4 linked regions of the Anolis sagrei genome follow. The protein of the gene in region 3 interacts with the protein of the main gene of each other region in a pairwise test. Links are inferred from orthologs where the notes say so. Each region holds a gene or a part of one and is shown on either strand. Other genes may lie near its edges.

The links.
Region 1: the proteins of AGTRAP (region 3) and TBRG4 interact in binary tests that used the Homo sapiens proteins (3 or more experiments, as listed by UniProt). The two-hybrid records come from large-scale screens. The link is inferred for Anolis sagrei from reciprocal best matches to the Homo sapiens genes AGTRAP and TBRG4.
Region 2: the proteins of AGTRAP (region 3) and TXN2 interact in binary tests that used the Homo sapiens proteins (3 or more experiments, as listed by UniProt). The two-hybrid records come from large-scale screens. The link is inferred for Anolis sagrei from reciprocal best matches to the Homo sapiens genes AGTRAP and TXN2.
Region 4: the proteins of AGTRAP (region 3) and PBX3 interact in a two-hybrid assay, tested with the Homo sapiens proteins (4 studies listed by BioGRID). The two-hybrid records come from large-scale screens. The link is inferred for Anolis sagrei from reciprocal best matches to the Homo sapiens genes AGTRAP and PBX3.

Annotation. Positions count from the first base shown.
Region 1 is NC_090026.1:131,503,231-131,510,443, forward strand, and holds the start of TBRG4 (FAST kinase domain-containing protein 4), read right to left. Parts: upstream 3,019-7,213; 5' UTR 2,939-3,018; exon of another isoform or gene 2,934-2,938; intron 1-2,933. UniProt on the Homo sapiens protein: Plays a role in processing of mitochondrial RNA precursors and in stabilization of a subset of mature mitochondrial RNA species, such as MT-CO1, MT-CO2, MT-CYB, MT-CO3, MT-ND3, MT-ND5 and MT-ATP8/6. May play a role in cell cycle progression.
Region 2 is NC_090025.1:166,647,955-166,655,250, reverse strand, and holds the start of TXN2 (thioredoxin, mitochondrial), read right to left. Parts: upstream 3,021-7,296; 5' UTR 2,908-3,020; intron 1-2,907.
Region 3 is NC_090033.1:10,225,184-10,232,613, forward strand, and holds the start of AGTRAP (type-1 angiotensin II receptor-associated protein), read right to left. Parts: upstream 3,018-7,430; 5' UTR 2,856-3,017; coding exon 2,829-2,855; intron 1-2,828. Other genes in the region: draxin, read right to left, coding at 6,770-6,882. UniProt on the Homo sapiens protein: Appears to be a negative regulator of type-1 angiotensin II receptor-mediated signaling by regulating receptor internalization as well as mechanism of receptor desensitization such as phosphorylation.
Region 4 is NC_090031.1:6,689,051-6,696,004, reverse strand, and holds the start of PBX3 (pre-B-cell leukemia transcription factor 3), read right to left. Parts: upstream 3,008-6,954; 5' UTR 893-3,007; coding exon 630-892; intron 1-629. UniProt on the Homo sapiens protein: Transcriptional activator that binds the sequence 5'-ATCAATCAA-3'.

The sequences.
Region 1 (7,213 bases), on a different chromosome or scaffold from region 3:
AATGATAATTACTTAATGCAACTGTTTATTTTAGTTTATTGTACAATATTTAGTGTTGTCTTTCGTTTAAAACTTTTGGGATTTTTTTTTGTTTATATAGGCATTGAATGTTTGCCTGTTATAATGTTGGAAGCCACCCTGAGGAGATAGGGCGGGGTACAAACAAATTATTATTATTATTATTATTATTATTAGAAACACAACAAGATGAGTCTACAGCAAACACTCTGCTGGCTGTTGTATTGGATCACACGTCAGACAGTTCCCAAGTGTCTAGGCTGTGTGATGTATCAGCAAATAATGCGTACACATCCCAGTAGGGTGGCCTTTTGCAGATGGTAATCTTGTAAGCACCAATTGTATTTAAGTGCAGGCCAAGGTCGGATCTAGCCATGGTGGTCCACGCTCTTGTTACATCCCGACTAGATTACTGCAACATGCTCTACGTGGGGTTGCCTTTGAAGACTGTTCGGAAACTTCAACTAGTCCAACGGGCGGCGGCCAGACTACTCACCGGAGCGTCATACAGGGAGCATACCATCCCCCGGTTATGTCAGCTCCACTGGCTGCCAATCCAGTTCCGAGCACAATTCAAAGTGCTGGTTTTAACCTACAAAACCCTTTACGGCTCCAGCCCAGCGTACCTGTCTGAACATATCTCCTTCTACGTCCCACCTCATAATCTAAGATCTGCTGGGGGGGCCCTGATCTCGGCCCCGCCTTTATCACAAGCAAGACTGGTGGGGACGAGGGACAGGGCCTTCTCGGTGGTGGCCCCTCGCCTGTGGAATGCACTCCCCGGGGAAATTAGGACATCAACATCCCTCCTCTCCTTCAGAAGGATGCTAAAGACCTGGATGTGGGACCAGGCTTTCGGGTAAGCTGGCAGATGGACAAGACAACCAATACTGACCAGAGTAGGAAAGGCAATGACAATGCAAAATGGTTTACGGACTTGGATTTGGTGAACATTGACCACTAGATATTTTATTGATGCTAGTATACTGTTGATTGTTTTAATTAGTTATAACTGTGATAGTATATGGTAAATTGTGTATTGTATATTGTATTGTATTTTGTAACTGTCGGCATCGAATTGTGCCTTTTGTAAGCTGCCCTGAGTCCCCCCTAGGGGGTTGAGAAGGGCGGGGTAGATGCACCCCAAATAAATAAAATAAATAAGGTCTTTAAGCACTCCACCCAGTGTGCCGATCACCACAGGAACACCCTTGATTGGTTTGTGCCAGAGTCTTTGGATTCAATGTTTAAATCCTCATATCATGTCAGCTTTTCCAGTTGTTTCTCTTCAATCCTGCTGTCGCCTGGGATTGTAACATTATTATTATTATTATTATTATTATTATTATTATTATTATTGCATGGTGATTGTAAGTTGATACCACAGCATTTGAGTGACTGGCCCAAATGCCATCTTGACTGGAAACTGTAATCTCTTAAAGCAGAAAGGCATGTCTGGCGGAATCAGTGAAAAGGGAGAAATATACATTGCTACACTTTGGTACTAAAAAAGAAATGCACAGAGATAGAGAGAAAGGGATGTAGGAGTCTAAGGGCCCTTCCATACAGCCCTATATCTTACTGTCTATTACAGGGAAAACCAGCTGATCCCCAACCCATCTAAAACACAGACATGTGCCTCCCATTTCAAGAACAGAAAAGCATCCCGAGCTCTGAGGATGATTACCTGGGAAGGAATCCCACTGGAGCCTTGCAGCGCACCCAAATCCCTGGGAGTCACTCTGGACCGTTCTCTGACTTACAAGAAGCACTGCCTGAACATCAAGCAAAAAGTGGGCGCTAGAAATAATATCATACGAAAGCTGACTGGCACAACCTGGGGATCATAACCAGACACAGTGAAGACATCTGCCCTTGCGCTGTGCTACTCTGCTGCTGAGTATGCATGCCCAGTGTGGAACACATCTCACCACACTAAAACAGTGGATGTGGCTCTTAATAAGACATGCCGCATTATCACAGGGTGTCTGCGCCCCACACCACTGGAGAAATTACACTGTTTAGCCGGTATTGCACCACCTGACATCCGCTGGGAAGTTGCAGCCAATAGTGAAAGGACCAAGGCAGAGACATCTCCAGCTCATCCCCTGTTTGGGCATCAGCCAGCACGTCAATGACTTAAATCTAGAAATAGTTTTCTAAGATCTACAGAGACACTCGCTGGAACACCTCAGCAAGCGAGAGCCCAAAAGTGGCAGGCTCAAACCCAGAACCTCAATCAATGGCTGATACCAAATGAGAGACTCCCCCCTGAGCACACAGAAAACTGGGCGACTTGGAAGGCGCTGAACAGACTGCGCTCTGGCGCCACGAGATGCAGAGCCAACCTTAAGAAATGGGGCCAAAAGTGGAATCCACGACATGCGAGTGCGGAGAAGAGCAAACCAGAGACCAACTGCTGCAATGCACCCTGAGCCCCGTCACATGCACAATGGAGGACCTTCTTGCGGCAACACCAGAGGCACTCCAAGGAGCCAGATACTGGTCAAAAGACATTTAATCAACTACCAAGTTTGCAAAATTTGTGCTTTTTTAATCTGTTTGTTTGTTTTGTTGTGTTAGAAATGTAATACAATGGTCTGGTTGCGGATGACACGATAAATAAATAAATCTAGGAATGGTGGGAATTGAAGTCCAAAACACCTGGAGGGCCCAAGTTGGCCCAGGCCTTGTCTACACTGTGGAATTAACGCAGTTTGATACCCTTTGGATTCTAGGCCTCGTCCAACGACACCTCCCATGATTCCACAGCATTGAGCCAAAGCAGTTGAAAGTGGTGCCACAATCCCCACTGAGGCCTAGCTCAGTGGCCCAAACCACCACTTGAGGCTATCTGCTTTTCCCAGTAGTTCCCAGTCCGGCCCAGTCGCTCCCACTGCCCTCCAGCCCCTCACCTGACCTCGAAGAAACCACGCCAGGAAGCCGGGAGGCAGAAACGAGGCGGCGTCGCTGACCGATGGCGTCACTTCCTTCCATAAAATAGACTTCAGGCAATTCTGGACTACATCTCCCATAAACCGTTTTCATTGACCAAAGCGGCGGAGCCTTCTGGGAAATGAAGTCCAAGAAATCCTGAGAGGGAGCCTCTTCAGGCTTTGTGGACTCCTGGCGTCACTTCCTTCCTTAAGGACTCCATCTCCCAGAAGCCCTTCCCATTGACTAAAGCGGCTGAGGCTTCTGGGAAATGAAGTCCAAAAAAAAATCCTGAGCCTCTTCAGGCCTTGTGGACTCCATCTCCCAGAAAGCTTCCCATTGACCGCCTTGGCTGAGGCTTCTGGGAAATGAAGTTCTGAGAGGAGTAATCCTTTGAAGACAGGGAAGTGCCACCCTCCGTGGGTCACGTGACGCTTCCAAACCGGAAGCGGCCTTCGCTGCGGCTCCTCCCTCTCCTTTTTTTCGTCTGAGGGAGACTTCCGGTGGCGGCAGAAGCGGCGGAGGAAGCGGATGGAGTGGGATGTAGCGGCCGGGGGAGTCCGGTAAGGGCCCGGGGGCGGGCGAGGAGGCCTCGACTAGGCCTCAAAAGAGGCTCCTGCTTTTTGAGGCCTTTCCTAGGCAAGGAAGGCTTTGGAAAAGGCCTTTGGATAGTGTGAAATAGGCCTGGGCCAACTTGAGCCCTCCAGGTGTTTTGGACTCCAACTCCCAGCATTCCTAACAGCCTCAGGCCCCTTCCTTTTCTCCCTCAGCCGCTTAGGCGGCTTAAGCGCCTGAGGGGGAAAAGGAAAGGGCCTGAGGCTGTTAGGAATGCTGGGAGTTGGAGTCCAAAACACCTGGAGGGCTCAAGTTGGAAGAAGCTAGCTGAGCCTGGGAGTTTTGGCCACAGTTACATGTTTAATCAGAGTGTGTTAACTGAAAAATGCAAGAAGCTAGCCGAGCCGGGGAGTTTTGGCCACATTTATATGTTTAATCAGAGTGTGTTTAATCAGAGGGGGAGGGCCCAAGTTGGCCCAAGCCTGCTGCAGATTGAGACTGAAAAAACATTGAGACTGAATCCAGACAAGACAGAGGTGTCTGCTATCAAGGGCCCTAATCTGGTTGTGGAGGTGTGTCAACCAGGCCCACTCCTCCTATTAGAGGTATTCTAGATCCGTCCCTCCAAATGATTACTTACTTAGAATCTAAGAGTTGGAAGAGACCTCCTGGGCCATTATCCAGTCCACCCCCCTTCTGCCAAGAAGCAGGAATATTGCATTCAAAGCACCCCTGACAGATGGCCATCCAGCCCCTGTTTAAAAGCTTCCAAAGAAGGAGCCTCCACCACACTCTGGGGCAGTGAGTTCCACTGCTGAACGGCTCTCACAGTCAGGAAGTTCTTCCTCATGTTCAGATAGAATCTCCTCTCTTATAGTTTGAAGCCATTGTTCCATTGCGTCCTAGTCTCCAGGGAAGCAGAAAGGAAGCGTGCTCCCTCCTCCCTGTGGCTTCCTTTCACATATTTATACATGGCTATCATATCTCCTCTCAGCCTTCTCTTCTTCAGGCTAAACATGCCCAGCTCCTTAAGCCACTCCTCATAGGGTTTGTTCTCCAGACCCTTGATCATTTTAGTCGCCCTCCTCTGGACACAGTATTCCAGCTTGTCAATATCTCTCTTGAATTGTGGTGCCCAGAATTGGACACAATATTCCAGGTGTGGTCTAACCAAAGCGGAATAGAGCATGGGGAGCATGACTTCCCTGGATCTAGACACTAGGCTCCTCTTGATGCAGGCCAAAATCCCATTGGCTTTTTTTGCCTCCACATCACATTGTTGGCTCATGTTTAACTTGTTGTCCACGAGGACTCCAAGATCTTTTTCACACGTACTGCTCTCGTACTACTTACTTACTTAGGCGATCCCATGATCAGTATTCTTGTGGGTCCGTAGGTGACTGTTGACCTGAATCTTCTTCCGCAGTGAGGGCATCGGTTTCCAGGTGGAAGGCGGTCTCGGTCGGGGTTGGCTTGACGCGCCTTCCTCTTGGCACATTTCTCTCTTTCGCCCTCCATTTGTGCCTCTTCAAATTGTACAGCACTGCTGGTCACAGCTGACCTCCAGCTGGAGCTCTCAAGGGCCAGGGCTTCCCAATTCTCAGTGTCTATGCCAGAGTTTTTAAGGTTGGCTTTGAGCCCATCTTTCAATCTCTTTTCCTGTCCTCCAACTTTCCGTTTTCCGTTATTGAGTTTGGAGTAGAGCAACTGCTTTGGGAGACGGTGGTTAGGCATCCGGACAACATGGCCTGTCCAGCGGAGTTGAGGTCAATCAATCAATGATTTATTACGGTCTTTGACCAGCACAGTATAGAATGGGGCACCGGTGCCCAAGGAAGGGAATCGCAGTTCCCAAGTAGGTCAGGTATAAAAGCAGATTAAAAACATGTTATAAAAGAGACAAATTAAAAAGATAAAACAGACTAAACTTACAGTTTAAAGTGCATGTATGAATCTAAAATAGGGGGGCGGCTAATAACAAATATCAGACAACTGGGAAGCTGTAAAACATGACCGGTCCAGCGGAGTTGATGTCAGAGGACCATCGCTTCAATGCTGGTGGTCTTTGCTTCTTCCAGCACACTGACATTTCCCAGCCTGTCTTCCCAAGAGATTTGCAGGATTTTCCGGAGTCGGCGCTGATGGAATCATTCCAGGAGTTGCATGTGACGACTGTAGACAGTTCACGTTTTGCAGGCATATAGCAGGGTTGGGAGGGGAATAGCTTTATAGACAAACACCTTGGTATCCCTACGGATGTCAGCGCTAATAATTGTATATTATTGTATAATGTGTTATGATGTTAACTGTTTTTTATACCGTGTTATTGTAGCATTGAATTTTTGCTGTTCTTGTTGTTAACCGCTGTGAGTCGCCTAAGGGCTGAGAACAGCGGTATACAAATAAAGTACATAAATAAATAAATGTCCCGGTCCTCAAACACTCTCTGCTTCATTCGGAAAAATGCTGCACTCGCAGAGCTCAGGCGGTGTTGTATTTCGGTGTCGATGTTGACTTTTGTGGAGAGGTGGCAGCCAAGGTAGCGGAAATGGTCAACATTTTCTAATGTATTGTTGAAGGCTTTCATGGCCAGAATCACTGGGTTGTTGTAGGTTTTTTCGGGCTATATGGCCATGTTCTAGAGCAAGTAGTTCTCAACCTGGAGTCCCCAGATGTTTTTGTCCTTCAACTCCCAGAAATCCTAACAGCTGGTAAACTGGCTGGGAATTCTGGGAGTTGTAGGCCAAAAACATCTGGGGACCCCAGGTTGAGAACTACTGTTCTAGAGGCATTTTCTCCTGACGTCTCCTGATGCAGGCGAAACGTCAGGAGAAAATTCCTCTAGAACATGGCCATATAGCCCGAAAAAACCTACAACAACCCAACATTTTCTAATGTTACACCATTAAGCTGTATCTCTGACGTTGGAGAGGGGTTGGCTGGTGACTGCTGAAAGAGCACTTTAGTTTTCTCAATGTTCAATGACTGGCCGAGCTTCTCGTATGCTTCTGCGAAGATATTTAGAGTGACTTGTAGGTCTTCTTCTGAATGCGCATAGACCACATCTTCATCAGCATACTGGAGTTCTATAACAGATGTTGTTGTAACCTTGGTTTTGGCTTTCAGTCTGCTGAGGTTAAACAACTTGCCATTTGTCTGATAGATGATTTACAAATGATTACATATGATTACAAAAGTGTGAACCCACCACTGAAAGAGTAGTAGGCCAAAGCCTGTTAGGGTCCTTTCACACAGCCATATAACCCAGAATATCAAGGCAGAAAATCCCACAATATCTTATTTGATCTGGGATATCTGAGTCCACACTGCCATATATTCCAGTTCAAAGCAGAAAATGTGGGATTTTATTCAGCTGTGTGGAAGGGTTAGAAGGCATGATCATCAAATTTGCAGAGGACACATGACTAATACAAAATCCTAATTTTCATCAAATAGTTGTACTTCCTTCTGAAGAAAGACATGATGAAGAATCCTTTGTTGCTCTGTTGGTGTGACTTTCTTTTCCATGGTATATGTGTTATGGTGGAACTCTTGAGATGTGTACACTATGTTGATGTTTAGAAAAGGGATTATGTATGGTTGTCAAGAAAAGAAAGGGAGAAAAAGGAAAAAAAGAAGAGGGAAAGGATTTTTTTAAATAAAAAAAAATGGAATACTATGTGAACAAGCTGGAATGCTTGAAAAA
Region 2 (7,296 bases), on a different chromosome or scaffold from region 3:
AAGCCTTCTCTCGCTTCTCAACTTGGGAACATCCATTATGCTCGGCTAATGGTTGTTGTATGATGAATTATGTTTTAAATTATGTGTTATAATGTCTGTCTATGTATTTTATTTTGTGTTTTTAAACTCTGTTTGACTGGGCTTAGACCTCATGGAAGCCGCCCTGAGTCCTTTCAGGGAGATGGTGACGGGTGGCAAAAATAAAGTTATTATAATACTATTATGAGAATTCTAGAGCCAGAGAAGCAGATGGCGAAAACAGAAGAATGGCCTGCCACGGGGAAGTGTGCTTGCTCCGTCAATGTTCAACATTTACACAAATGACCAGCCACTGCCAGAAGGGACAGAGAGTTTCATCTATGCTGATGATCGCGCCATCACCGCTCAAGCAGGGAGCTCTGAGGTGGTTGAACAGAAGCTTTCCAAATCTTTAGGTGCCCTTACTGCCTATTACAGGGAAAACCAGCTGATCCCTAATCTATCTAAAATGCAAACATATGCTTTTCACCTTAAGAACTGACAAGCATATCGAGCTCTGAGGGTCACCTGGGAAGGTATCCCACTGGAGCATTGCAGCACACCCAAATACCTGGAAGCTACCCTGGACTGTACTCTGACTTACAAGAAGCACTGTCTGAATATCAAGCAAAAAGCAGGTGCTAGAAATAATATCATATGAAAGCTGATTGGTACAACCTGGGGATCACAACCAGATACAGTGAAGACATCTGCACTTGCGCTTTGCTACTCTGCTGCTGAGTATGCATGCTCAGTGTGGAACACATCTCACCACGTTAAAACAGTGGATGTGGTTATCACAGGCTGTCTGCGCCCTACACCACTGGAAAAATTACACTGTTTAGCCAGTATTGCATCACCTGACATCCGCCGGGAAGCAGTAGCCAATAATGAAAGGACCAAGGCAGTGACATCTCGGCCCATCCCCTGTTCAGATATCAGCCAGCAGGCCAATGCCTTAAATCAAGAAATAGTTTTCTAAGATCTACAGAGATACTCACAGGAACACCTCAGCAAGCGAGAGTCCAAAAGTGGCAGGCTCAAACCCAGAACGTCAATCCATGGCTGATACCAAATGAGAGAAACTCCCTCCTGGACACACAGAAAACTGGGCAACTTGGAAGGCGCTGAACAGACAGTGCTTTCTCATCACGAGATGCAGAGCCAACCTTAGGAAATGGGGCCACAAAGTGGAGTCCACGACATACACATGAGCCCTGCCACATGTACAATGGAGGACCTTCTTATAGCAACACCAGAGAGAGACTGCAAGTGGCCAGCTACTGGTCAAAGGACATTTAGTATAATGCCAAGTTTTTAAACTTTGTGTTTTTAAATACATTACAACTGTACCCTTGGTTTGCTCCTGATACGATAAATAAATTATGGGAGGAAAAGCAGAGTAACCATTATATTAAAAATATTTAACAACATCATCATTTTGTTCAACAGATGTCAGTTTTTTCCATTAGTAACATTTCCCATTTTTAAATATATCAATCTCCAGATTCCCTCCTACTCTCCGATCCTGATCGGTATCAATCCATACACTTCCTACAGGCCCTCCTCCTGCCAAATGTAGATGCACCCACGGTCCAATTAATGTAGTCTGACACCACGTTAACTACATTGGCTCAAGTTTGCCCATTCCTGGTGTAGATGAACCTTTAGTTTCAATTCTGGAGGGGAAAGGTAGGGTAATACCCATAATATTAAAATATTTATATTAACAACAACATCATTTTGTTCAACAGATGTCAGTTTTTCCATAAGTAACATAAGACTTTGTATTTCTAGGTGCAAAGATTACTGCAGATGCAGACTGTGGCCAGGAAATCAGAAGACGCTTACTTCTTGGGAGGAGAGCAATGTCCAGTCTCGATAAAATAGTGAAGAGTAGAGACATCAGACTGGCAACAAAGATCCGTCTAGTCAAAGCCATGGTATTCCCTGTAGTAACCTATGGATGTGAGAGCTGGACCTTAGGGAAGGCTGAGCGAAGGAAGATCGATGCTTTTGAGCTGTGGTGTTGGAGGAAAGTGCTGAGAGTGCCTTGGACTGCGAGAAGATCCAACCAGTCCATCCTCCAGGAAGTAAAGCCCGACTGCTCACTGGAGGGAAAGATACTAGAGACAAAGTTGAAGTACTTTGGCCACATCATGAGGAGACAGGAAAGCCTAGAGAAGACAATTATGCTGGGGAAAGTGGAAGGCAAAAGGAAGAGGGGCCGACCAAGGGCAAGATGGATGGATGGCATCCTTGAAGTGACTGGACTGACCTTGAGGGAGCTGGGGGTGGTGACGGCCGACAGGGAGCTCTGGCGTGGGCTGGTCCATGAGGTCACGAAGAGTCGGAGACGACTGAACGAATGAACAACAACAACAACATTTCCCATTTTTTAAAATATCAAACTCCAGATTCCCCCAATTCTGATCAGTTCTCAATCTTGCAGCACAACAACACAGATAAGCAGATCTTTATGATTTAACGCTTCATAGTTGTCACAAAATATTGGGGGGCAGAGAGAAATCTATTTGGGGTTCGATAAGAACTGCTTGGCTGAGTGATGAATTTACTGCAGTACTTGCGCATGCCCTTCCTACAGGCCCTCCTCCTGCCAAATGTAGATGTACCCGAGGTCCAGTTAATGTAGTCTGACACCACTTTAACTACATTGGCTCAAAGCTAGGGGATCCTGGGATGTGTAGTTTGGTGAGACACAAGCACTTTGTGGCAGAGAAGCCAAAAGACCTTGTAGAAAAGGGAGGGGGGAGGAAACACAACTCCCATGTTTCCCTAACACTGAACCAGAGCAGGTAAAGTTGTACCAAACTGCATTAATTCAACAGTGTGGACATACCCTCGGACTAATCAACATCCCCTTCTCACCTTTCACGCCCCCGAAGCGTTCCTCGCACAGGAATCCTACGGAACCGAAAGCTCAACTATCTTAGCAGCTCATTGGCTGGAGAAGGAGTTTCTTCCTTGGCGGTTGGCTAGCGAAAAGGAGGCTTCCAGAATTCTAGAAAGCGATTGGCTAAGGCGCGCAGAATGTTCGCATCCTCTGCCTCTATTGGCTAAGACGGCTGTACTTCCTAACGTCGTGTAACTTTTTCCCCCTTTGCCTGGATGCTGATTGGCTGTTGGGGAGGCCTGACCTTGCTTCAGAGCCTGATTGCGCCAATAGAAAGCGCCTACTTTCAGTGAGGTCAGCGTTTCCAGTGTCTGTCCTTGACATTTTGGAGATTTGTCAACTGAGCTTGTTTGGCGGCGTGGTTTTGACTATAACTCAGTTAAATCACAACTTATGCATTCATCAGTGGGTGCGTCTATATCTTAGAATTAATGCTGTAGAATTAATGGCATGGCTCGATGCTGGGGAATCATAGGAGTTGTAGTTTGGTGAGGCACCAGCATCCTGGCAGAGAAGGCTAACGACCTTGTAGAACTACAACTCCCATGATTCCATAGCATTGAGCCATGGCTGTTAAAGTCGTGTCGAACTGCGTTAATTCGACAGTGTAGGTCAGGGGTCCTCAAAATGCTTAAACAGAGGGTCAGATCACAGTCCCACAAACTGTTGGAGGGCCAGATTATAATTTGAAAAAAGCATGAATGAATTCCAATGCACACTGGACATATCTCATTTGTAGTGCAAAAAACATTTAAAACAATACAATCATTAAAATGAAGAACAATCTTAACAAATATAAACTTTATTTATATTATATAAGATATAATACTATATATTATATAATATATATATCATACACACACATATATATTATATAATATATAGTATTATATCTTATATAATAGATAATACTTCATCTTATTGATGGGAAGCTTCCCACCAGAGTGGAAATCATCTATTGGACAGATGGCAAACTATTTAACCTCAGCAGACTGACAGCCAAAATACCTGTCTGACCGCATCTCGGCCTATGAGCCCACGAGGACTTTGAGATCGTCCGGGGAGGCCCTTCTCTCGATCCCGCCTGCCTCACAGGCACGCCTGGCGGGGACGAGGGATAGGGCCTTCTCGGTGGTGGCTGTGGAACACCCTCCCTGTAGACATCAGACAGGCGCCCTCCCTTATGACATTCCGCAAGAGACTAAAGACGTGGTTGTTTAAGAAGGCGTTTGACTAAGTGCTACAACAATTGGCAATGATGATTGGAACGGAATATGGATAACGAGATTGGATTGTGATTCTATGATGAGACGTCGCGAATGATTTAGTGCAATTGTATCATTGATAGTGATGTTATTGTTGTTTGTGATATTGCCTTTATTGTAAATTGTTTTTATATGTTGTACACCGCCGTGAGTCGCCCTAGGGCTGAGAACGGCGGTCTACAAGTGCAGTAAATAAATAAATAAATAAATAAATTTATATAATGTACTGCAATATGATAATAATAATAATATATTTATATATTTACATTACTTGTAATATTACTAATGTTGAGACTCAGCATTCTGGCACCATACCTACTACTAGTAGTAGGAGAAGAAGAAGGAGTGATGCAGAAGCAGAGGAGATTTGCATCTCAATTGCTGTTTAAGACAATCTGTGTTCTGTGGGTCGCGACAACTAATGATATTACGATATAGTGGTATGGTGCAATATAGCAATGTTTAATGCTGATATTGTACTATGCTAATAATATATTGTATGTAATATACATTGCAAGCCGCTCTGAGTCTCCTTTGGGGTGAGAAAGGCAGCATATAAATGTCGTCCGTCACACACACACACACACACACACAAGTCTTTCATTGGGAAGTATGGGCCTGCTTTGGGCTGATAAAATAGGGTTGTTGTTGTTGTTGTGTGCTTTCAAGTAATAGAATCCTAGAATCCTAGAGTTAGAAGAGACCCCGTGGGCCATCCAGTCCAACCCCTTTCTGGCAAGAAGTAGGAAAATTTCGTTCAAAGCACCCCCGATAGATGGTCATCCAGCCTCTGTTTAAAAGCCTCCAAAGAAGGAACCTCCACCACACTCTGGGGCAGAGAGGAGGGTGGAGGAGGCTCCTTCTTTGGACATCATTTCAGATTTAGGGTGACCCTCAGCGAGGGCTGGGAAAATGACCTTGGAGGGCCATATCCAGCCCCCAGGCCTTAATTTGAGGACCCCTGGTGTAGATCCACCCAGTAACTGAGTCTTTCAACATATCATTCCATGTCTGTTCTAAAGAACAGTCAAATATCTATTTTAAAATGTTGCCCATTACAATAAAGTTACAAATCTCAGTTAAATCAAATACTATATTATGAATGCCAAAACTCAAAAACTATACATTTTTTTAAAAGTGTGCATCCACATTGTAGAATTAATACTTTGACATTGTCCTGGCTCAATGCTATGGAATCATGGGAGTTGTAGTTTGACAAGTGACCAATTTAAGGTGGAATCAGATGTCAAACAGGGATGTGCTATTGCCCCAAGCTTATTTTCCATTTTTCATTGCTATGATACTTCATCTTATTGATGGGAAGTTTCCCACCAGAGTGGAAATCATCTATCGGACAGATGGCAAAGTATTTAACTTCAGCAGACTGACAGCCAAAACCAAGGTCACAAAAACATGTTATAGAACTCCAATATGCTGATGATTATGTAGTTTGTGCACATTCAGGAGAAGACCTACAAGCCACTCTAAACACCTTTGCAGAAGCATACAAACTCGGCCTGTCATTGAACATCAAGAAAACCAAAGTGCTCACCAGGCCAGAAATACAGCTTAATGGTGTAACATTTGAAAATGGCAAATTGCCTCTAAATAAAACTGGCCAACAAGATGGAAGGTGATCATATGATCATGTAACTAAATAATGTATAATAAAGCTTATATTACAATAAAAATAATTAAAAATAATAATAATGAACTCTATTGAAATAGATTACTTCTGTCAGAAGCTACCATCGTGGTGTAGACCATTCAGAGACTCTATAGGAACTTCCTGCAGAAATATACCATGGAATTTCCTGTAAACTGTAGGAAATTCCTAATAAGGACCTATTTTGTTGGATATGGGTAGGAGAAACTGTTAAAACACACTTTTCCCTTCTTCAGTGCCACTGAACATTTGTCCAAACCAAACTTCATGCTGATATCAGTGCTAAAGATTTGGACAATGTTAGTGTTGTGCCAAAAAATCTCAGCCAGCATTTGAAAACAATAAACATTGACAAAATCATGATCTGGCAACTGCAAAATGCAACCTTACTTGGATCTGCACACATCATTTGAAAATACATCACACAGTCCTAAATGCTTGGGAAGTGTTAGACTTGTGATTTTATGATATGAAATCCAGCATATATATCTCATTTGCTGCGTTATACTGTGTTTTGTGTCAGTAAAATAACAACAACAGCAACAACTTTATTTGTATCTTGGCCCATCTCCCCAAAAGGACTCGGAGCGGCTTACAAGGCAACACAGTGCAAGACAGAATACATAAAATACACAAAAAATAACCCAAATCAGTAGCAGCACCAAGTAATTTAAAATTATAACATACAGGTGTAAATGAAATAACATAAAACACAAAACAGAATTGTAATTAAAAGCAAATTATACATGTAGTTTGCTTTTGTATGGAATGTATGCCCCCTACCAAAACACCATTCTACAATGCCCACCTGCCCTAACCAGACAACCAATGATAGAAAATCATGCAAGTTGAAGTCCATTCATGTTAGTATGGGGAAGAGATTCCTTATGTTAATCTCACCCTCCCTGCCCATGTTGTGAGGAAAGGTCACAGCTTTCAGCAGTATTTCTGTCAGTGCAGAAACCTCATGTTCATTTTTAAAAGTAGATGGCAGATGAAATAAAAGATATAGCTACAGTGGGCCCTTGGTATCTCCTGGGATTTGGTTTTAGGACCCCACCCCATAGATTCCAAAATCCATGGATATTTGAATACCATTATATAAAATGACTTAGTGCAATGGTGTACTTATATAAAACACCAAATCAAGGTATGCTTTTTGGATAAAAAAAATCAAGCCATAGAAAGTTGAATCCATGAGTACAGGACACTGTGGCCACTGAAGCCCAATTGTATTTTACAGATGAACAAGGGAGTTGATGGATCCTTGCCACTGAATACTGGAAAGGTGTCACAGAACCCCTATGAAAGTGGAAAAACAAGTGGAGGGCTTGAAGAGCAAGCAAAGCGAAGAGGCTCAAGGTTATCCTTTCCATCTGCAAAAAATAATGGGGAAACTAGAAAAGAGATAGTGTTGAATTCTTCCCATTTGT
Region 3 (7,430 bases):
AATATGATAATAAATACAATAATAAATAGAATGATGATGTATATAATAAATATAATATACAGTAATAATTATAATGTACAATACAATAAATATTACATAATATAATCAAAATAATATTAATGAATATAATAAATAGATTGATCTAATATGATAATAAATATAATAATAAATAGAATGATGATAAATATAATATACAGTAATATAATATAATAATATAATTATATTATACTATATAATAATATAATATAATATAATATAATAATATAAGTATAATATAATCAATATTAATGAATATAATACATAGATTGATCTAATATGATAATAAATATAATAATAAATAGAATGATGATAAATATAATAAATATAATATACAGTAATATAATATAATAATATAATATAATTATATTATACTATATAATAATATAATATAATATAATAAGTATAATATAATATAATCAATATTAATGAATAAATAGATTGATCTAATATGATAATAAATATAATAATAGAATGATGATAAATATAATAAATATAATATATAGTAATATAATATAATAATATAATATAATTATATTATACTATATAATAATAATATAATATACTATATTATAATAATATAATAAGTATAATATAATATAATAAATATAATATTAATGAATATAATAAATATAATAATAATCTAAGAAATATAATATAATAATAAATATAAGAAATATAATTTAATCTAATCTAACAATAATATAATAATATTAATACTAGCAATAATGTCCCCAAAAACAAATGTTACGACTAAATCGGGCTTGCCTTGGTCGCTGCAATTCATTGAAAGCAATGACTCACGGCGACTCAAAGGTAAACCATAAACAACATCCTATTTTCCTTGGGTCACTTCTGGATGCTTCAGCTCATTCGCACGGCCGGCCGGCCGGGGATTTATCAAGTTGCATCACACGAGGAAGGAAAGAAAGGAGAATCACAAGAATGCCTTGGGAGCCGCTTTCGGTTGAATTTCAAGGCCGCGCCAGCATCTTCCCCATTTTTGGACTATTTTGCAAAATGCAGGAATTTCCAAGCATTCGGCAGCTTTCGGTTTTTCCATTTCGAAATTGCTTTTCTAGCATTTGCATGGCGTACGGTGACCCCATTAATATAATAATAATAATAATAGTTATTGTTGTTATTACTTTTGAAAACTTTTCCTACCTCGTAACATTGATTTACAAGGACATGCAAGCTGTGCCCCTTATAATGGAGAGAGCGAAAGTAACTTCTCTAAAACCCTATGGGACAGCCAAGGTTTTTCCCCTCCATCCTGGTGCCTCGCACTAGGTAAAACTCACAATTATTAACTGCCCCCCCTGCACACTCGTTTTTAAATACTTGGTGCTTCATTGGTCTTTTACACAATTGTTGTTGTTGTTGTTGTTGTTATATTTATTTACACACTTCTGTGAGCCTTCCCTTATATGCAATCCCTTTGCACAATCCTGGTGCACACTCACCTTACACTTCCGTCAACTCTTCTCTTGTAGATAATCCCTTTGCACAATCATAGTGCACACTCTTCCATTGACCCTTCCCTTGTAGACAAGCCTCGTGCACAAATCATAGTGCACACTCCCCTTACTCTCTTCCATTGACCCTTCCCATGTAGACAAGCCCCTTGCACAATCATAGTGCACACTCCCCTTACTCTCTTCCATTGACCCTTTTCTTCCTGTGCACAATCATAGTGCACACTCTCCTAAAACTCTTCCATTGACCCTTCCCTTGTAGACAAGCCCCTTGCACAATCACAGTGCACACTCCCCTTACTCTTCCATTGACCCCTCCCTTGTAGACAAGCCCCATGCACAATCACAGTGCACACTCCCCTACTCTCTTCCATTGACCCTTTTCTTCCTGTGCACAATCATAGTGCACACTCTCCTAAAACTTCCATTGACCCCTCCCTTGTAGACAACCCCCTTGCACAATCACAGTGCACACTCCCTACTGTCTTCCATTGACCCTTTTCTTCCTGTGCACAATCATAGTGCACACTCTCCTAAAACTCTTCCATTGACCCCTCCCTTGTAGACAACCCCTTGCACAATCACAGTGCACACTCCCTACTGTCTTCCATTGACCCTTTTCTTCCTGTGCACAATCATAGTGCTCATTCTTCTAAAACTTCCATTGACTCTTCCCTTGTAGACACCCCCTTGCACAATCATAGTGCACACTCCCTACTCTCTTCCATTGACCCTTTTCTTCCTGTGCACAATCATAGTGCACACTCTCCTAAAACTCTTCCATTGACCCTTCCCTTGTAGACAAGCCCCTTGCACAATCACAGTGCACACTCCCCTTACTCTTCCATTGACCCTTCCCTTGTAGACAAGCCCCATGCACAATCACAGTGCACACTCCCCTACTCTCTTCCATTGACCCTTTTCTTCCTGTGCACAATCATAGTGCACACTCTCCTAAAACTTCCATTGACCCCTCCCTTGTAGACAACCCCCTTGCACAATCACAGTGCACACTCCCTACTCTCTTCCACTGACCCTTCCCTTTCCATGCACAATCATAGTGCACACTCTCCTAAAACTTCCATTGACCCTTCCCTTGTAGACACCCCCTTGCACAACCATAGTGCACACTCTCCTAAAACTTCCATTGACCCCTCCCTTGTAGACAACCCCCTTGCACAATCACAGTGCACACTCCCTACTCTCTCCCACTGACCCTTCCCTTCTATGCAACCCCTTTGCACACTTCCCTTTCACTCTTCTGTTGACACTTGTAGAAGACCCCCCTTTGCACACTCGTTGTTGCACGCTCACCTTGAGGTTGACAGAGGGGACCTCCATGGTCCTGGGCTTCCTTCTTGACTTTCTTTCTCTTTCTTTCTCTTTCTTTCCTTTCCTTTCTGGTCAGACCCGGGTTCTGCTTTGCTTTGCTTTTCCGCTTCTGCTTCTCTCTGCCTGGGGCTCCTCCCCACAGCCAGCCTCATGACTCCTTCCCCAGAAATTGAGCAAAAAAAGCCACAGCAGAGAAACTCCTCCCTCCACTCCTTCCTTCCTTCCCTCCAAGGGAAGAGGACTCACTCTGCAAGTGTAGACAGGAGGGGAACCTTAATGCGAATTAAAGCCCCCCCCCCTGGTTCTGGGTTTGAGTGCAGACAGAGTGACACTCTCTCAGCCTCAGGAAAGGAGGGCATCACTGACATGCTAAATAATATTAAATAATAATAATAATAATAATAATAAAAAAAATAGTATAATATTCCCATTTCAATAATAATAATAATAATAATAATAATAATGCTAAATAATATTAAATAATAATAATAGTATTATATTTAATATTATAATATAGTATAAAATAGTATAATATTCCCATTTCAATAATAATAATAATAATAATGACATTAAAATATTAAATGATATTAATTAATCGTAATAAATACTAAACTACTCCCATTTAAATTCTAAATAATATTTAATAATAATAATAAATATAATATTTCCATTTCAATAATAATAATAACAATGACATTAAAGTATTAAATATTAATAGTAACAAATACTATACTAGTCCCATTTAAATTCTAAATAATATTTAATAATAAATAAATATAATATTCCAATTTCAATAATAATAATAATAAACAGTATACTATTCCCATTTAAATTCTAAATAATATTTAATAATAATAATGAGGATGACATTAAAATATTAAATGATATTAATTAATAGTAACAAATACTATACTGTTCCCATTTAAATTCTAAATAATATTTAATAATATAATATTCCAATTTCAATAATAATAATAATAATGACATTAAAATATTTAATAATATTCCCATTTTAATTATTATTATTTACAATAATAATAATAAACAGAATACTATTCCCATTTAATTCTAAATAATGTTAAATAATAATATAGTATTCCAATTTCAATAATAATAATAATAATGACATCAAAATATTAAATGATATTAATTAATAGTAATAAATACTATACTATTCCCATTTAAATTCTAAATAATATTTAATAATAAATAAATATAATATTCCAATTTCAATAATAATAATAATATATAATAATAAACAGTATACTATTCCCATTTAAATTCTAAATAATAATAATAATAATAATATAATATAATATTCCAATTTCAATAATAATAATACTTAATAATAACAGGATAATATTTCCATTTCAATAATAATAATTTATAATAATAATAAACAGTATACTATTCCCATTTAAATTCTAAATAATATTTAATAATAATTGTACAGAAGTGTTTATAATAATATGCGTATAACTGTATTTATGTTTGCATTGGTTGCCCTAAGGCTGGAGCGGCCTAGCTGTGAGAAATGTGTTACCATGGAAACGAGGCAGAAGAGGAGGTGGGAGGAGCTTAGAGAGTAAAGGTTTTAAAAAGTGACAGTTAGAGTCAGTCAGGGGAGAAAGACTCTGAGAGAGCAGCAGAGTCAGTTTTAGACTCTGAGGAGTGAAGAAGTGAAGAGCCAGGTTTTAGTGTTCGTGAATAGTAGAGATTTCTTCAGCTGGACCTTAGGGAAGGCTGAGCGAAGGAAGATCGATGCTTTTGAGCTGTGGTGCTGGAGGAAAGTGCTGAGAGTGCCTTGGACTGCGAGAAGATCCAACCAGTCCATCCTCCAGGAAATAAAGCCCGACTGCTCACTGGAGGGAAAGAGACTAGAGGCAAAGTTGATGTACTTTGGCCACATCATGAGGAGACAGGAAAGCCTAGAAAAGACAATGATGCTGGGGAAAGTGGAAGGCAAAAGGAAGAGGGGCCGACCAAGGGCAAGATGGATGGATGGCATCCTTGAAGTGACTGGACTGACCTTGAGGGAGCTGGGGGTGGTGACGGCCGACAGGGAGCTCTGGCGTAGGCTGGTCCATGAGGTCACGAAGAGTCGGAGACGACTGAACGAATGAACAACAAGGAAGCTGAAGGGGAAAACCTTGTTAGTTGCTTTAGTTAGAAAGAACTAACAGAGGCTTGCTAGGATCGCTAGTCGGAGAAAGACTGGAGATCTGTGATTTGATCAAGTATAGATCAAACAGAAAGACCATTCATTGCAGGGAACACTGGTTAATAAAGCGCTTCACCACAGCAAGAGTTCATAAGTTGTAACATCGAAAGTCTGAATTGTATCGCAACCAAGTTACATGTAACCATCAAGTATTTGCCAAGCTTAACATCTTCATACTGCAACCATACGCTTTGTTTAAAAATAAACTTGTTCTCTTTGGTTTTTAAAACTGCCTCATCTCCATTAATTCTACGTTCGGTGCACCCACTCTACCAAAATTACCTCACAACACAAACAGAGCTTTAATACCAGAGCCTTTTACAAATCAGTGGCTCCTCTCTCCTAAATCTAGGCGCTTCCTCACTAGTCGGTAGCGTCTCTCTACAATTGGGTGGCAGCTTCATTACCAGTGGCGGAGGTTCTTTACAATAATAAATATAATATTCCAATTTCAATAATAATAATTTATAATAATAATAATAATAAACAGTATACTATTCCCCTTTATATTCTAAATAATATTTAATAATAGTATAATATTCCAATTTCAATAATAATAATAATGACATTAAAATATTAAATAATATTAATAGTAATAAATACTATACTATTCCCATTTAAATTCTAAATAATACTTAATAATAATAGTAGAATATTCCAATTTCAATAATAATAATAATAATAATAATGACATTAAGTATTAAATATTAATAGTAATATATACTATACTATTCCCATTTAAATTCTAAATAATATTTAATAATAATAATACAATATTCCCATTTAAATAATAATAATAATGATATTAAAATATTAAATGATATTAATTAATAGTAAGAAATACTATACTATTTTCATTTAAATTCTAAATAATATTTAATAATAAAAATAATATTTAAATAATAATAATAATATATAATAATAATAAACAGTACACCATTCCCATTTTTAATTCTAAATAATATTAAATAATAATAATAATAAATATACTTTTCCCATTTAAATTCTAAATAATATTTAATAATAATACAATATTCCAATTTCAATAATAATAATAATAACATTAAAATATTAAATGATATTAATTAATAGTAATAAATACTATACTATTCCCATTTAAATTCTAAATAATATTTAATAATAATAATAAATATAATATTCCAATTTCAATAATAATAATAATAATAATAATAATATATTACAGTATACAATTCCCATTTAAATTCTAAATAATATTTATTAACAATAAACAGTATATCTCCATTAAATTCTAAATAGTATTAAATAGTATTTAATAATAATAATAAATAATATTAATATTTCCATTTACATTCCAAATGCTATTAAATAATAATACTAAATAGTATAACACTGCCCTTTAAATTCTAAATAATATTAAATAATAATAATAAATAGTATAATATTCCCATTTAGATAATAATAATAATAAATATAGTAAAAATAAATAGTATAATATTCATGTCGAACCATGAGGACTAGAAACTTAATTCTTTTTTAGGATCCGAAAGCCAAGAAGGAAGACAAGCCGGTGTGTGCGAAGGATAGCTATCTCTTTATTTATTTACAAATAGGAAACAGGCCTAAAAGGGGGGACGGGGACGAGGGGTCCGCACTGCAGAACTGAAGCAGAACTGAAGTGGTTTGGTTCCTCTGTGCGGACGGACGGAGGGGCGGACGAGGCCTAGGTGGCCATGAAGGAGCCCCGGTCGGGGTCGGCCGAGCCCGGTTCCAGGCAGCGGCCCCTGCGACGCGTCACTCGCCGGTTGCGGTGGAATTTGGCAAAGCAGCGCAAGCCTGGAAGGAAAGAAAGAAGGAAAGAAGGAAAGAGAAAGAGAGGAAGAGTGACAAAAAGGAAGCATCCCCAGAAGAGACGGAGGAGGGAAGGAAGGAAGAAGGGGAGGATGGATGGAAAGGTAGACAGATGGGTGAAGGAAGGATAGAGGGATGGAAGAAGGGGTAGATGAATGGATAGATAGATAGGTGGATGAATGGAGAGAAGAAAGGAAGGAAAAATGGATGGACAGATGGATGGATGAAAGATAGATGAATGGATGGATGTAGGAAGGAAGGAAAGATGAAATATGGATGGATGGATGAAAGAAGAAAGGAAAGATGAAGGATGGATGGATGGAGGGATAGATGAAAATATGGGTAGGTAGATAGATAGATAGATAGATAGATAGATAGATAGATAGATGAATGGATGGATGAGGGAAGGAAGGAAGAATGGGTGGATCAATGGATAGATGGATAGATGAAGGAAGGAAGGAAAGATGAAGGATCGATGGATAGCAGGAAGGATGGATGGAGGAAGGAAGAATGGATGAATGGAGGGATAGATG
Region 4 (6,954 bases), on a different chromosome or scaffold from region 3:
TGCCAGGTGACAATTTTGGACCATATCGAAATGGCAATGGAAAATGGGATCGGCTAGGTAAACATCCCATCTTATGCATGATTATGGGGACTTCTCCTTGCTGAAGGAAGGATGCATTTTTGGAGAGGGACATCTCATGTCCACAGATATGGATGAGATGTCCCTCTCAATGTTTGTGTCAACACAAACACATGCAAGGATGGAGTGGATGGGGAGATGTATTGTGAAGCAGATTCCTTTCCTGAAGGAGAGCAACTTTGCTTGCATCTCATAAAGGTGGGCAACTTTTGGCTCTGAGAAAAAGGAGCAGTGCATCGATGGGCCATTTTGGACCTTGCAAAACAGTAAGGGAGGAATGGATGAAACCAACAGCATCGACCTGAATATCCATCCTTCTGAGCATCACAGACTACCCATCCTTCTGAGCATGCATTCTGGAGAGGACACCTTATCCACACATACCTACACTCACACTAATCATAAGATGGGAATCTTGACCTCAAAGGAACCCGCACAGGTGGGTCCATATTTTGTGGGTCCATATACACACATACACACACTCATGCACACAGACAGAGACAGAAGGGGACCGAAGCGCATCAGGCACATTTAAAACACAAGGGTATTACTTTTGGGTTTTTGGGGAGGGAAGGGGGGGTTTGTCTGCTGGAGAAGTGGGGGGGACCAACTTTGCTTGCGCCTCGTCCAGGCTCTGGTCGGTGATGGTCATGATCTGGTGGAGGATGTCGCCGATGTCCTGCTTGCGCCCGTCGCCACCGTCGGGGACCTCGTGCCCGTGAGGGGGGGGCAAGGGCATCCCTCCCCCGGGAACCGGGTGCCCCGCCAGGTTCACCCCCGCCAAGGTCTGCAGCATCCTCGTCTGCTCGTCCATGGCCCAGGAAGAGAGCAGGAAGGAGGAGGAAGGAAGGGGAAGAAGAAGATGGGGAGGAGGAGGAGGAGGAGGAGGAGGAGGAAGAAGAAGAAGCTGAAGAGGTGAATGAAAAGGAAAAAGAAGAGGAAAGAGAAGAAAGAGGAGGAAGAAGATCAGGAAGAAGGGAAGGAGGAGGAAGAAGGAGATGAAGAGGAGGAAGGAGGAGGAGGATGAGAAGCAAGAGAAGGAGGAAGAGGAGTGAGAGTATTGAAGATCAAGAGGAGGAAGAAGAGGAAGAAAAAAAGAGGAAGGAGAGGAGGAGGAGGAAGAATCAAAAGAAGAGGAAGAGGTAAGAAGGGAAAGAAGAAGGAAAAGAGGAAGGAGAGGAGGAGGAGGAAGAATCAAAAGAAGAGGAAGAGGTAAGAAGGGAAAGAAGAAGGAAAGGAGGAAGGAGAGGAGGAAGGAGAGAAGGAAGAATAAAAAGAAGAGGGAGAAAAAGGAAGGGAAAGAAGAAAGAAGAGGAAGAAAAGGGGAAGGAGGAAGTGGAGGAGGAAGAAGATGAAGAGGAGGAAGAGGAGGAAGTATAAAAAGGGGTTGAAGAAGAAAGGGAAAGAAGAGAGGAGAAAAGGAAAAGAGAAAGCAGATGAAGAGGAGGAGGAAAGAGAGAAGGAAGAAGAGGAGGAAGAATAAAAAGATGAGGAAGAAGGGGAAGAAGGGAAGGAAGAGGAAGAAGAAGATGAAGTGGAGGAAGGAAAGAAGGAAGAAGAGGAGGAGGAATAAAAAGAAGAGGAGGAAAAGAAAAAGGAGATGGAAAAGAGGAGGAAGAAAAAGAGGAGGAAGAGGAAGAAGAGGAAAGAAGAAGAGAAAGGAAAAATGAAGAGGAGGAAGATTAAAAAGAAGAGGAGAAGGAAGGGAAGGAGGAGGCGGAAAGGAGGAAGAAGTGGAGAAGACTAAAGAGAAGAGGAAGGAGAAAAGGGTGGAAAAGAGAAGGAGGAAAGATGGGAAGAAGATGAAGAGGGAAGAGGAGGAAGAAGAGGTGAAGGAAGAATAAAAAGAAGAGGAAAGAGGAGAAGGAGAGGAGGCAGATGCAAGTCCGAGCTCAGTCCTGGCTGCTCCTTTCCAGGCAAATCGAAGCAGGCAAAAGCAGGGCTTCCTCTCCTGGGTTTCTCTTCCTTCCTTCTTTCTTTCCTGGGAGCTCTTCTCTCAACGCTGGGCTCCTTTGCTCATCCTTGGGCGGCTTTCCTTGAGTCAGTCCCAGCAATCTGGAGGAAGAGAAAGAGGAGGAGGAGGAGGAAGATGCTGAGTCCCAGCAGCTCCCAGCAGAGCTCTTTCCAACGATTGGCTTTGTGTTCTTCTTCTTCCTCTTCTCCCTCAAGCTTCTTTCTTCATCCTTCGCCCTCTTGCAATTCTCCTTCAGCACCACAAAAATGTAGATATTTCGGGAAGGCAAAGGCTCCAAAGTTGACAACAGTTAGTTGCCGGTGGTTCTTTCTCGCTCTCTCTTCCTCTTGGATTTGTTTTTTTCCTTCATCGAGGGAAGAAATGGTGTTATTTTCCCAGAAAATAGATTTGCAAAAAAATAATAAAATAGTCAAACCGCTTTGCAATCCAATTATTTGGAGAGAAAAAAAATCACATCGTTGCTCCGAACGGCAAGAAGGGGGAAAAATGCAAAAAAAGCCACATCACAAAATTTCCCAGCGTCTGGTTTGCTTGCAAAAAAGAAAAAAGAGGAGGAGGAGAGGGAAAATCGCCAGCAAAGTTTGCAAGTTGTGCAAAAAAAAATTGGAAAAAATAAAATTCTTTTTTTTTAAGGAAGGGGGCAAAAAAAGAAGCAAAGTCTCTCTTTTGCAAAGACGGGAAAAATTGCAATTAATGGCACACCGGCTTTGCAAAAGGGGGAGGAGGGCCAAAGAGGGGGGAGAAACCCCATCCAGCTGCAATTTATGAGCCCAGCAGCAGCAGCCCCAGTGACTGTGGTGTGTGTTTTATGTTGTTTGATGGCCGCTTTGGTGAGGGATTGACAGGCTGCCAATGCCACTCACTCACCCTGCAGACGTGTCAAAGGAGGCGAGCCCAGAGAGAGAGAGAAAAGCAAGCGAGCTGGTCGAAGCCACGCCCCTTTCCCCGGGCTTCTCGGCCTCCAAGCCACGCCCCTTTCCCCGGGCTTCTCGGCCCTCCCAAGCCACGCCCCCTCGCTCTGAGAGGCCGCCCCAAGCCACGCCCCCAAGCTCCAAGCCACGCCCCTTTGGAATGCTCCGGGCTTTCAAGCACCGCCTTCGCCTCGGCTCAAAGCCACGCCCCCTCTCTCATGCACTCCTTCCCATCCAGCTGGATCTACACTGCTAGAGAATCCAGTTTGGGCATAAACTGCATTGCATTGAACTGCATTCTATAGCCAGGTTTTTTTTCCCCCTCCAAATAATAAGTTTTATCAATTTACTCATTTAATAACAATGTAATATTATTACTATGCTTAACAATATTACATTAAATATATTAATATATTATTACTATGCTAACAATATAATTAGATTAATATAATATATTACTAGGGTAATAATATATTAATATAATATATTAATATATTACTATGCTAACAATATAATTGGATTAATATAATATATTAATATAGTAATAATATAATTACATTAATATAATAAATTATTACTATGGTAACAATATAATTACATTAATATAATATATTAATATAGTAACAATACAATTACATTAATATAATATATTAATATAGTAATAATATAATTACATTAATATAATATATTCATATAGTAACAATATAATTACATTAATATAATATATTCATATAGTAACGATATAACTACATTAATATAATATATTCATATAGTAACAATATAATTACATTAATATAATATATTTATATAGTAACAATATAATTACATTAATATAATATATTCATATAGTAATAATATAATTACATTAATATAATATATTCATATAGTAACGATATAATTACATTAATATAATATATTCATATAGTAACAATATAATTACATTAATATAATATATTTATATAGTAACAATATAATTACATTAATATAATATATTACTATGGTAATAATATTTATTATTTATTTATTTATTTATTTATTATTTGCATTTGTTAACCGCCACTCTCAGCCCGAAGGCGACTCGTGGCGGTGTACAGAACATAGAACATAAAGACAACAGTTACAGTAAATCAAGATCATGACGCACATCAACTAACACACAACTAATTAAACTAAAAATCCGCTTCGTCTTGTTAGGGTCATAATCAATCTCGTGGTCATAGTCCATTCCGGTGGTCATTCCAAAACATAGCACTTAATTGAAGGCCTTTTCGAAGAGCCAGGTCTTCAAGCCCTTACGGAAGGCCATGAGGGAAGGCGCCTGTCTAATTTCAGCGGGGAGGGAGTTCCACAGCCGGGGGGCCACCACCGAGAAGGCCCGCTCTCTCGTCCCCGCCAAGCGTGCCTGTGAGGCAGGCGGGACCGAGAGAAGGGCCTCCCCGGATGATCTCAAGGTCCTCGTGGGCTCGTAGGCCAAGATGCGGTACTCAAGGTATTTTGGGCCGGAACCGTTTATATAATATATTCATATAGTAATAATATAATTACATTAATATAATATATTCATATAGTATTACTATGGTAATAATATAATTACATTAATATAATATATTAATATAATATTACTATGGTAATAATATAATTACATTAATATAATATATTAATATAATATTACTATGGTAATAATATATTATATATATTATATATTCACTGCTTTGAGTCGCCTGAGGGCTGAGAAAAGCGGTATATAAATAAAGTAAATAAATAAATATATTATTCTTATACTAACAATATAATTACATTAAAATAATATATTAATATATGCTAACACTGTAATTACATTAAGATAATATATTAATATTGCTATGCTAGTAATATAATTACATAAATATAATATATAATAATATAATTACAGTACACAATATATATAATTACATAATAATATAATTACATTATATAATATATAGTAATATAATTGCATTACATAATGTATAATAATATAATAACATTACATTATTATATGCCCCCGGTGGTGCAGTGGGTTAAAACGCTGAGCTGCTGAACTCGTTGACCAAAAGGTCGCAGGTTCAAATCCGGGGAGCGGCATGAGCTTCCGCTGTCAGCCCCAGCTTCTGCCAACCTAGCAGTTCGAAAACATGCAAATGTGAGAAGATCAATAGGTACTGCTTCGGCGGGAAGTTAATGGCGCTCCACGCAGTCATGCCAGCCACATGACCTAGGAGGTGTCTACGGACAACGCCGGCTCTTCAGCTTAGAAATGGAGATGAGCACCACACCCCAGAGTCGGGTGCGATTTGACTTAATGTCAAGCGAATACCTTTACCTTACTATTGGCATAGCACAATATTAGAATTATATACTACAGAAGCGGTACCTATTGATCTACTCACACTTCTATGTTTTCGAACTGCTAGGCTGGATTTGACCCACCAACTTATTGGTCAGCAACTTCAGCAGATCAGCGGTTTAACCTGCTGTGCCACCGAGGGCTACTTAATCTACTGGTACCATATAATAATAATAATGTTTTATATACTGTCCTATCTCTTAAACTATACAAATATACAATAATAAAACAGTATTATCATTATATATATTAGTACTACTATATTGCAATATTATTCTTTTGTCTTATCATATTGTATTATGACTAGTGTTATATTGTATTATCAATATTATGTCTACACGATATATTGTTATTATAGACAATATTAGTGTTATACATTACATTGTGTATATATATAATATATTTACATTGTAATGTAATAATACTAAAATAATATAACACAATATTAATATGCATGTTATAATATAATATATTACAATATAATAAAGATGTTATAATATAGTATATTTACTACAACTTATGATATAGCGCAATATATTATATAATTAAAAAGGTAAAGGTTCCCCTGACCTTACATCTAGTCCTGTCCGACTCTGGCGGGTGGTGCTCATCTCCATTCTTAAGCTGAAGAGCCGGCATTGTCCGTAGACACCTCCAAGGTCATGGGGCCAGCGTGACTGCATGGTGCGCTGTTAGCTTCCCAGAAAAGCGGTACCTATTCATCTACTCACATTTGTATGTTTTCGAACTGTAAGTTTGGCAGAAGCTGGGACTAACAGTGGGAGGTCACCCTCCGCTCTCTGGGTCCAAATTGCTGACCTTTCAGCAGCTCAGCGCTTTAACCCACTGTGCCACCGGGGGCTCTTTATTGACAGCGTATAATTATAGTTATTATTATTTAAATACCGTTCTATTTCCCAAAAAGGACTCAGGACGGTTCCTACCAACCAATAATACTATACTACAACATAATATTATAATTATATTTTATGAATAGTATTATCATTATATATTGTTATATATTATCAGTAGTATTCTATTTAACATAATAGTATTATTATATTATAATATTATAATTAATATTCTATGTATACACAATATATTATATTATTAGCATAGCGCAATGCTAGTATACATGAAATATTACATGTAATATTATGAATAATATTGCAGTATACTGGTATAGTAGAATATAATATATAATATTAATACTGTGCTATTATAGCAATATGTTGTGTATACATATAATACAGTTATTTATTATCAGTAGTAGTATATTCAAGATATTAGTATTATATTATTATATTATTAGATATTATATACATTATTATTATATTTTAATAATTACAATATTATAATTAATCTTCTATGTATACACAATGTATTATATTATTAGCATAGCACAATTTTAGTATATATGCAATATTTTGAATAATATTGCAGTATAGTAGTATAGTACAATATAATAATATATAACATTAAAACCATATAATATTTTATAATAATATTGTAATATACTAATAGTATTATATTAATTTCCTACTGATAATTGCTTAGTACAATATAATATATAATACTAATACTGTGCTGTGATAATAATATATTGTGTCTACATATAATATATG